Linked DNA regions of Bombyx mori. The protein of the gene in region 2 interacts with the protein of the main gene of each other region in a biochemical or structural test. Links are inferred from orthologs where the notes say so. Each region holds a gene or a part of one and is shown on either strand. Other genes may lie near its edges.

Evidence for each region. The genes of interacting proteins can lie anywhere in the genome.
Region 1: the proteins of pre-mRNA-processing factor 6 (region 2) and CD2 antigen cytoplasmic tail-binding protein 2 homolog form a complex in vitro, tested with the Homo sapiens proteins (2 studies listed by BioGRID and IntAct). The link is inferred for Bombyx mori from reciprocal best matches to the Homo sapiens genes PRPF6 and CD2BP2.

The regions. Positions count from the first base shown.
Region 1 is NC_085111.1:10,749,771-10,754,051, forward strand, and holds the start of CD2 antigen cytoplasmic tail-binding protein 2 homolog, read right to left. Parts: upstream 2,958-4,281; 5' UTR 1,506-2,957; intron 1,182-1,505; 5' UTR 1,048-1,181; intron 822-1,047; exon of another isoform or gene 576-821; intron 451-575; 5' UTR 438-450; coding exon 255-437; intron 66-254; coding exon 1-65. UniProt on the Homo sapiens protein: Involved in pre-mRNA splicing as component of the U5 snRNP complex that is involved in spliceosome assembly.
Region 2 is NC_085109.1:9,946,427-9,950,176, forward strand, and holds part of pre-mRNA-processing factor 6, read left to right. Parts: intron 1-1,344; coding exon 1,345-1,561; intron 1,562-2,426; coding exon 2,427-2,590; intron 2,591-3,215; coding exon 3,216-3,392; intron 3,393-3,750. UniProt on the Homo sapiens protein: Involved in pre-mRNA splicing as component of the U4/U6-U5 tri-snRNP complex, one of the building blocks of the spliceosome.

The DNA.
Region 1 (4,281 bases), on a different chromosome or scaffold from region 2:
TGTCCTTGTGTATCAAAATGCCCTTCTTCAAGTTCTTCTTTCATGTTAAAAGGTGTTATTGTAATCTATAAAATAGTACTAATTAATGAAATTAATATTTTATTTGATAGTTATAAGTATTAATTAAGTTGTTAATATTAAATTAGCTGAATTATCCTCAAAAGCATTTTAAGTATTGTTTGGAAAAAGAAACATTTTTTAATTCTCACAACAATTTGAGTATTCTGATTAGGTTTTTGACTTATTCTACTCACTTCACCTTCCATTCCACCAGTTCCTTCCTCTTCACCTTCAATATCATTGGAGTTCATAACATTATTCTTCTCTTCTTCAGCACCACTATCTTCTTCGTCGGAATCCAAGGAATGTTTCTTGCCATCCTTCGTGGCCTTTTTTACTTCGTCTATTAATGCTTCGGAAGCGGGACGCTTTGACATTTTGGTAAAGTAACTAAAAGGAACAAATTTTAATTAAAAACATTAAAAAATATTTGGGTTTATCTAACAAAGACTTTAAACTATAGGCACATTCCTAAATTATCATTGAACACTAAGCAAAGTTTTACTCATCCTCACCCTAATAATATTTTGGGCGCCTTTTCTTGAATAGGTGAACTCAAATTGAGTGAATCAGATTCAACTAGGTTGGTACACGGTTGGTACCTCTTCTTAATTGTGATTGTGTGTCTGTTGCCGTGTGTTAGGTACGCTATCAATGAAATCAATGTTTTTATGTCTATCAAGGTATGGTCTCAAATCTCAATTATTAATTTTATTATGTGTATCAATGACTCGAATATTTAAGTGTATAATCTATGTCTATGACTACGATGTTTGGTTTTAGGACTTTTTGGCGGGAACGCGAGGGGTGAAGTTGTGTGATTTGTTTTATTTTGTCTATTTAGTGTTTCTTCGGGTTTAGATATGTAATAATGGTGGTTTATTAACTGTTTAATATGTGTGTAACTGTATTTTTCTTCTTCTTTACTTAGACATTTTTGTCCACTTTGAGATTTAATTGTTATATATCTGTGCAAAACCGACTTACTTATATTAAATTGCTTAGCTATTTCAACTAAAGACTTATTCCCAAATTCATAGTCTTCTATTGCTGTTTTTAATATTAAGGGATCATATCTCTTATAAAGCTTGCACTCTTTGATACATACACGCGAGGCATATCTAAAAATAGAAAACAATACGTAACTGATAATATAAATATAATTGCACTAATAATTAAATAAAAGTTTTAGACAAAAACATCATGAATAAATGAGATTCTTACCAACACGTTTAAAAAAGATTGTTATAACTACATAGACAACCCTACAATCCTGTACGTATTTATACTTAAGTCGTTCCCATTCAACTTATTGTCGTCCCAATTGACCTCCCTTTCATTGTTATTTGTAGCTCAGGTGACCCCATTAACCCCAAACATAACAATTTTAATATGTATTTTTAAATTATCAAAAAACATTAAAACCAATAACAATTGAGACTTACCGTTAATATATATGATGGCTCAAACACTAAATAAAGTTTTTATATCACAGTCGTCTTATATTATTATCAAATAATATATGCTGGCTTAACCATCAACTGGTGTTCGGTTGTAAAGGACCTAGGCCTACTTATTGACTCCAGCCTGAGTTGGCGAGCCCAGGTCATCTCCGTGTGTCAGTGAGTTACACTTACACTCCGTATGCTTTACCGCCTGAACAATATCCTTCCGCCCGAAACCAAGAGACAATGCTCGTTTAAACTTTGATCTTCCCCATGATCGACTATGGTGATGTGTGCTACTTTGACCTGAATGCAGATCTACTCAATAAACTTAACCGGCTTCTCAATAACTGCATTCGATTTATTTATAATCTTCGGAAATACGATCATGTATCTTCTCATCGCTCCCAACTCAAATTGCTCCCCATTCGACAACGCCGTAGCTTGCGTGCTCTCAGTACTCTTTACTCTTTGTTGCACTTCCCAAATCCACCTGAATACTTAGGGTTTGACTACAGCCAAAATCTTCGTTCATCTCACAATCTTCTTCTTCGCTGTTAGTTCGCAGGTAGTTCGGACTTTTTACATTCTTCCTTCACTATTCAATCTATTCTTCTATGGAATGCGCTCCCACTTAAAATAAGGTCGGCCAGAGTTTAAGACAAGGTTTCGAGTACTTAGAATCAATTAGATGACTCTGCTAAGAGTTAGCAGAGTCATCTAATTGATATTTATTTATATATACACATTTTTATATGTATATATTTATGTATATGTATTTATTTAACAAACAAACAACTGTCTGTACAAACTGTTTAAATAGCACTCGGGAGTTATTTTGCGAAAAAAAACTGTCACACTTTTGGATTAGAAAAAAATAGATGTTGCTTCAGCTGAAGCACTGTAGTGCGCTACCGAAGAATTACACAATCAACGTGAAAAAAGAGCAACCGGTTGGCGATGTATCGCATCCCGACCCGACAGCCTGGTTCTAGTCCAGCGGGGTATTCCGGGACTCCAGTCGCACTGTGTGGGTGGCCTGACGGGCTATCGTACCCAGACGGCTGACGGCTGTAGAGCATTCCGTCTCAAAGGCTCCGTCGACCGGACGTCCTCGGGGGAGCTGCGCTGTCTGTAGTGTTGACCGCGATAACCCCTTTACCTCACCCGGGTTCTGACCTGGAAGGGTATCAGACGATTGGGCGAGAGTGCAGGGGAGTTGTGTAGTGGGTATGGCCCTAAATTCTATCCTTTAGGCCCGCGGTACCGGCGAAGGCGGACTTTCGGCGCGGTATTGTGGGTTTCGTGGAGTCGTAGCGGTCAGTAAGCCCCCTCAACCGGGTAACCGTACGGATTCTACAGCGTTAAAAAAAAACAAAAAGAAGGCCCGCGGTTCACTCCCATACCCCATGCGCCCCTAGGGGCGGGGTATTCCTAGAAAGTTCGGCCCCCAGTCCAAAAAAAAAGATCAAGCACTTCAAACCGCATTTCGTCGACTTTCGCCAGGGAAACTGCTTAGCTGAGTGTTAAGCAACATACCTTGATAAAAAAGTCGTCGGGGCCTAAAGGATAAGACGTTCGGTGCATTCGTGTTGAGTGATGCATCGGTGTTCGAATCTCAGGTGGGTACCAATTTTTCTAATGAAATACATACTCAACTAATATTCTGGATTGACTTCCACGGTGAAGGAATAACTTATTTATTTATTTTATTTATTTATGTACACACAGAAAAAAAGACATAGTACAGAGTAATAGGAAAATTATGTACAAAGGCACTGCTTATTTCTTTAAGAAATCTCTTCCAGCAAACCTGCGAGAGGATAATGAGAATAATAATAAAAAGTGATAAGTGTGTGTAGAACAAATAATACATAACTAAAACAACAAATACAACATGAGAATTATAGTAATGCACTTACACATACCAAATATTGTTAAACTTGAGTACAAAATATTATAAGTCACAGTAACACTCGTATATACGAAGAGTATAGAACCATGATCACTCGGTTGATGAGAGATAAAATTGTTTGACCTTGTATTTAAAAACAGAAACAGACTTGCAAACTCGGATGTCAGCCGGCAACGAATTCCACAGTCTGACCGCGTGCACAGTAAAGGAGTGAGAATAGAAATTGGTTTTGTGAGAAGGGAATAACAAAACAGAACGTTGGTTGGACCTGCAGGGAGCATCAGGAGAACGAATGAAAGAGAATCGCTCACGTAAATATAAGGGAGAAGTGGGCTTATGTAGGATATTGAATAGGAGACATAATATTCGAGTATTCCTACGAAGGCGTATAGGGAGCCATTTAAGTTCTTTGCGAAAATGTGAAACATGATCGAATTTTCTGAGATTGTATATAAAACGGATACATAGATTTTGCATCCTCTCAAGCTTGTTTGAGAGCTCCTCAGTGGCATCCAAGTAGCAGGCATCGGCGTAATCAATTATGGGTAGAATGAGAGCTTGGACGAGAGATATTTTTGTATGCTGAGGTAAGAAGCCCTGCAGACATCTCAACGAGTGCAAGGCGAAGTGCACCTTCCTACTAATCTCAGCAACGTGAGAACTCCACGAAAGATGTCGATCCATACACCCAGGTTTTTAACTGAATCGGTTAGAGTTATTTGAGTCCCATCCAAATAAATTGGGGGGAGTATAGGATCGCTGAGTCTACTGCGCAATTGTTTACCCCCTATAATGATAGCCTGTGATTTTCCCGGATTAATGTGCAGACCGTAGGCTTTTGCCCATTCAGTGATAGACTTC
Region 2 (3,750 bases):
TAAAGCGGCACGACACGAGAACCCTCTCATCGTGGCCGCCGGTAACTACATTCCCGATCCTGCGGACAGAATGGAAAGCAGTCGACGTCGCCCAAAACACGTCATCTCGGATCCTCCCGATCCACTAACGGTGCTTTTAGGTACTTCAAGCACCGGTCACCGTTCTCGTCGAACCCGTCGCTTGCGACGAAGGGCTCGGCGAGTAAATTAACTCTCAGACACAGCCCACTGAGTTTCTCGCCGGATCTTCTCAGTGGGTCGCGTTTCCGATCCGGTGGTAGATTCTGCGAAGCACGGCTCTTGCTAGGGTTCGTGTTAGCAACGTCATCAGGTTTGAGCCCCGTGAGCTCACCTACTAGCCACGGTTACGCTGAAATAGCCTCTAAAGACTATCAGCTTAGGTAGGAAAAAAAAAAAAGCAATCGATGCCAACTCAGTGACAGACCTCAGTAAACCTTTATTGTTGAAAAAATTTGTAAGGCTTTCGTTTCGTCGTAGTTTCGTTGGAAATAATCAAAGTTAATTCAAACTGTGCTAAAAAATAATAATATAAGTATGGATGAAGGTACAAATAATTACTTTTTTTTTATATACCACATTTAAAATGTGAATACAATTTCATTTTAGAATTCGAATCTGTAAACAAATTAATTTTACAGGTATATACTTTTGTAAACATTGCAATGATCATCATGAACTTAGCGCACTCTGCTGATGCATTTGAAAACTAATTCACGTTCCAATTAAGCTTCAGCATAATTCGGCATTGTGTGCCACTGAGTCGCATTGTGCTCTGTAATTGGAAAACTACTACTGTATGCGCGCGAGTTCATGTCCATCGGGGCCAGAGGCGATGCGCGGGGGACAGCTCGCCCCACCTTCGCCCGCCTCCCCGCGTTTGTCTGACGTCGAGTGTTGTTCTGACGGTTGTGACGCGAGCTTATCGATGTCATAATTTAAACTAACGCTATTATGTCATTTAACCATAACTACTCCGCTTCCAACAAGTTCAGATAGAAAAAAACCTACTGAAAAAAGATACATACTGACTCCGACTCTGATCTGTCGGTTGTCTTTTCATTTGATAGTGATTAAATTGAAATTTAAAGAATATTTTTCTCTATTAGAAATAAACAAGTAATTAGTTATCACATTTATTTTATTTCATAAATTGCAAAATTACCTTAAGTTACATTTAACCAAATTGACAGCTGTTGACTAAATCGGTAGTTATTATCGACATTACCATAATTAACTAGGTCACAGCACTACCGCATTCCTCAGGATGCACATGAACTCGCGCGCCTACAGTAATGTGTTTAATAAGTGTTATTGTTTGTGTAGTGCGCCACTGAGGGTGCGTTCGAGTGCGCCCGCGCCGTGTACGGGTACGCGCTGTCCGTGTTCCCGTCCAAGAAGTCCATCTGGCTTCGCGCCGCCTACCTGGAGAAGCAGCACGGGACTCGCGCCAGCCTCGAGACGCTGCTGCAGCGGGCCGTCGCGCACTGCCCCAAGTCGGAGGTGCTGTGGCTCATGGGCGCCAAGTCCAAGTGGCTCGCAGGTCAGGGACGATTTATCGATCCGTTCGTTCCGTTCCAGTAACACGTTAGAAGTCGACGTGGCTTAAAGTCGACGTCCGGTGCATTCGTATGTAGCGATGCACCGGTGTTCAAATCCCGCTGGCGGGTACCAATTTTTCAATGAAAGACGTACTTCAGAAATCTTCACGATTGACTTGCACGGTGAAGAAATAATATCGTGTAATTACTGATGGTAGGACCTCTTGTAAGTCCGCACGGGTAGGTACCACCACCCTGCCTATTTCTGCCGTGAAGCAGTAACGCGTTTCGGTTTGCAGGGTGGGGCAGCCGTTGTAACTAACTATACTGAGACCTTAGAAATCAAATCTCAAGGTTGGTGGTGGCGTTTCCGTTGTAGATGTCTAAGGGCTCCAGTAACCACACTTAACACCAGGTGGGCTGTGAGCTCGTCCACCGACCTAAGCAATAAAAACGTAAAGACGAATGTTGCCCATCTCTCTGCCCGTCGGCTCTGTAAGGGCAGTTTGATACGTTTATAGATTTTGAGAGCACTCACACAAAATGAAGTGCTGTAGATGACACGACTTTCGAATTATTTTTCAGTTCAATTTGATTTATTTATTGCTGGCGTGCGGTCCCCTACGATGGTTGTTACCGTCGTAGTAAATTTTCTCAAAATTCGAATATGACAATAAGTACATATAGTCTACTATACATAATATATAGATATTAAAGACCCAAATATAGAGCATACAAACTTGTTTATAACGCGAGAGCTGACCCAATGCTGAAATCGTCACCAACACCCTCAGCAGTTCGGGTCGCTAACCACAGCACCACCGATTGGGTCTATTTGAATAAACCAATCATTAATGTTTCGTTTAGGCGACGTACCGGCGGCTCGGGGTATCCTGTCGCTGGCCTTCCAGGCCAATCCCAACTCTGAAGAGATCTGGTTGGCCGCCGTCAAACTGGAGAGCGAGAACAAAGAGTACGACAGAGCGAGACGGCTGCTGGCTAAAGCTAGGGCTTCAGCTCCCACACCGAGAGTAAGTTTTTTTTTCCTACCTATGCTGATAGCCTTGAGAGGCTATCTCAGCTTTATCCTAGCGTGTAGGTGAGCTCTCGGGGCTCAAACCGGAGGTGTTGCTAACACTGGCCCTAGCAAGAGCAGTGCTTCCCAGAATCTGCCACTGAGAGGATCCGGCGAGAAACTCAGTGGGCTGGTGTAAGTTAAATCAACATTAATATTGTAAGATTCGTCTGTTCGTACTCTGCAATTATGAGACCCACTCTAGGGAGGTCATAGGTCCCCCTCCCCCCGACCGACTAGTGGCGTTTAGCTCTTATTTCACAAGAGTTATAGCTTAATGTCTTTTGACGTCAATTTTTTCGGTGTAAGAACCGATTTTAATGCTTTATTTTGTTTGTTACATTTGATGAATGACGGAAACATTTCTGAAGATGTTTATTTAAAAACATTTACTTAAAGGGGTTCTTGTGAGGCTACACGAGGAATTACCGCCTCCCTGTCTATTTCTGCCGTTAAACAGTAACGCGTTTCGGTTTGAAGAATGAGGCAATGGATGTACTATAAAAACTGATATAGAATAAGCTCGTCTACACGTCGAAGCAATAAATAAAAAAACGATTTCTATTTATTTACTTTTTTAGGTGATGATCAAATCAGCGAAACTAGAATGGGCATTGAACAATCTGGACGTAGCCATAAAGTTACTGGACGAAGCGATCAAAGTGTTCGGGGACTACGCAAAGCTTCACATGATGAAGGGACAGATTGAGGAACAAATGGCCAAGGACGAAGACGCTCACAACACATATAGTCAAGGGGTGCGTATATAATCTTTAATATCTATAATCTAAATAATCTTTTTTTGTTATGATTGAACTTGTATTAGCACCAATAATGCGATGTTTTAATTGGACTTCTAACTTTACTGGTGGTAGAACATCTTGTGAGTCCGCACGGCGTTAATGCATTTCGGTTTGAAGGGTGGGGCAGCCGTTGTAACTATATTAGACCTTAGAACTTATATCTGAAGGTGGGTGGCGCATATACGTTGTAGATGTAGATGGGCTCCAGTAACCACTTAACATCAAGTGAACTGTGAGCTCGTCCACCCATCTAAGCAATAAAAAATAAATAAATAAAAATAAGTTCACTCCATTCAAATAACTGAAGAAGCTT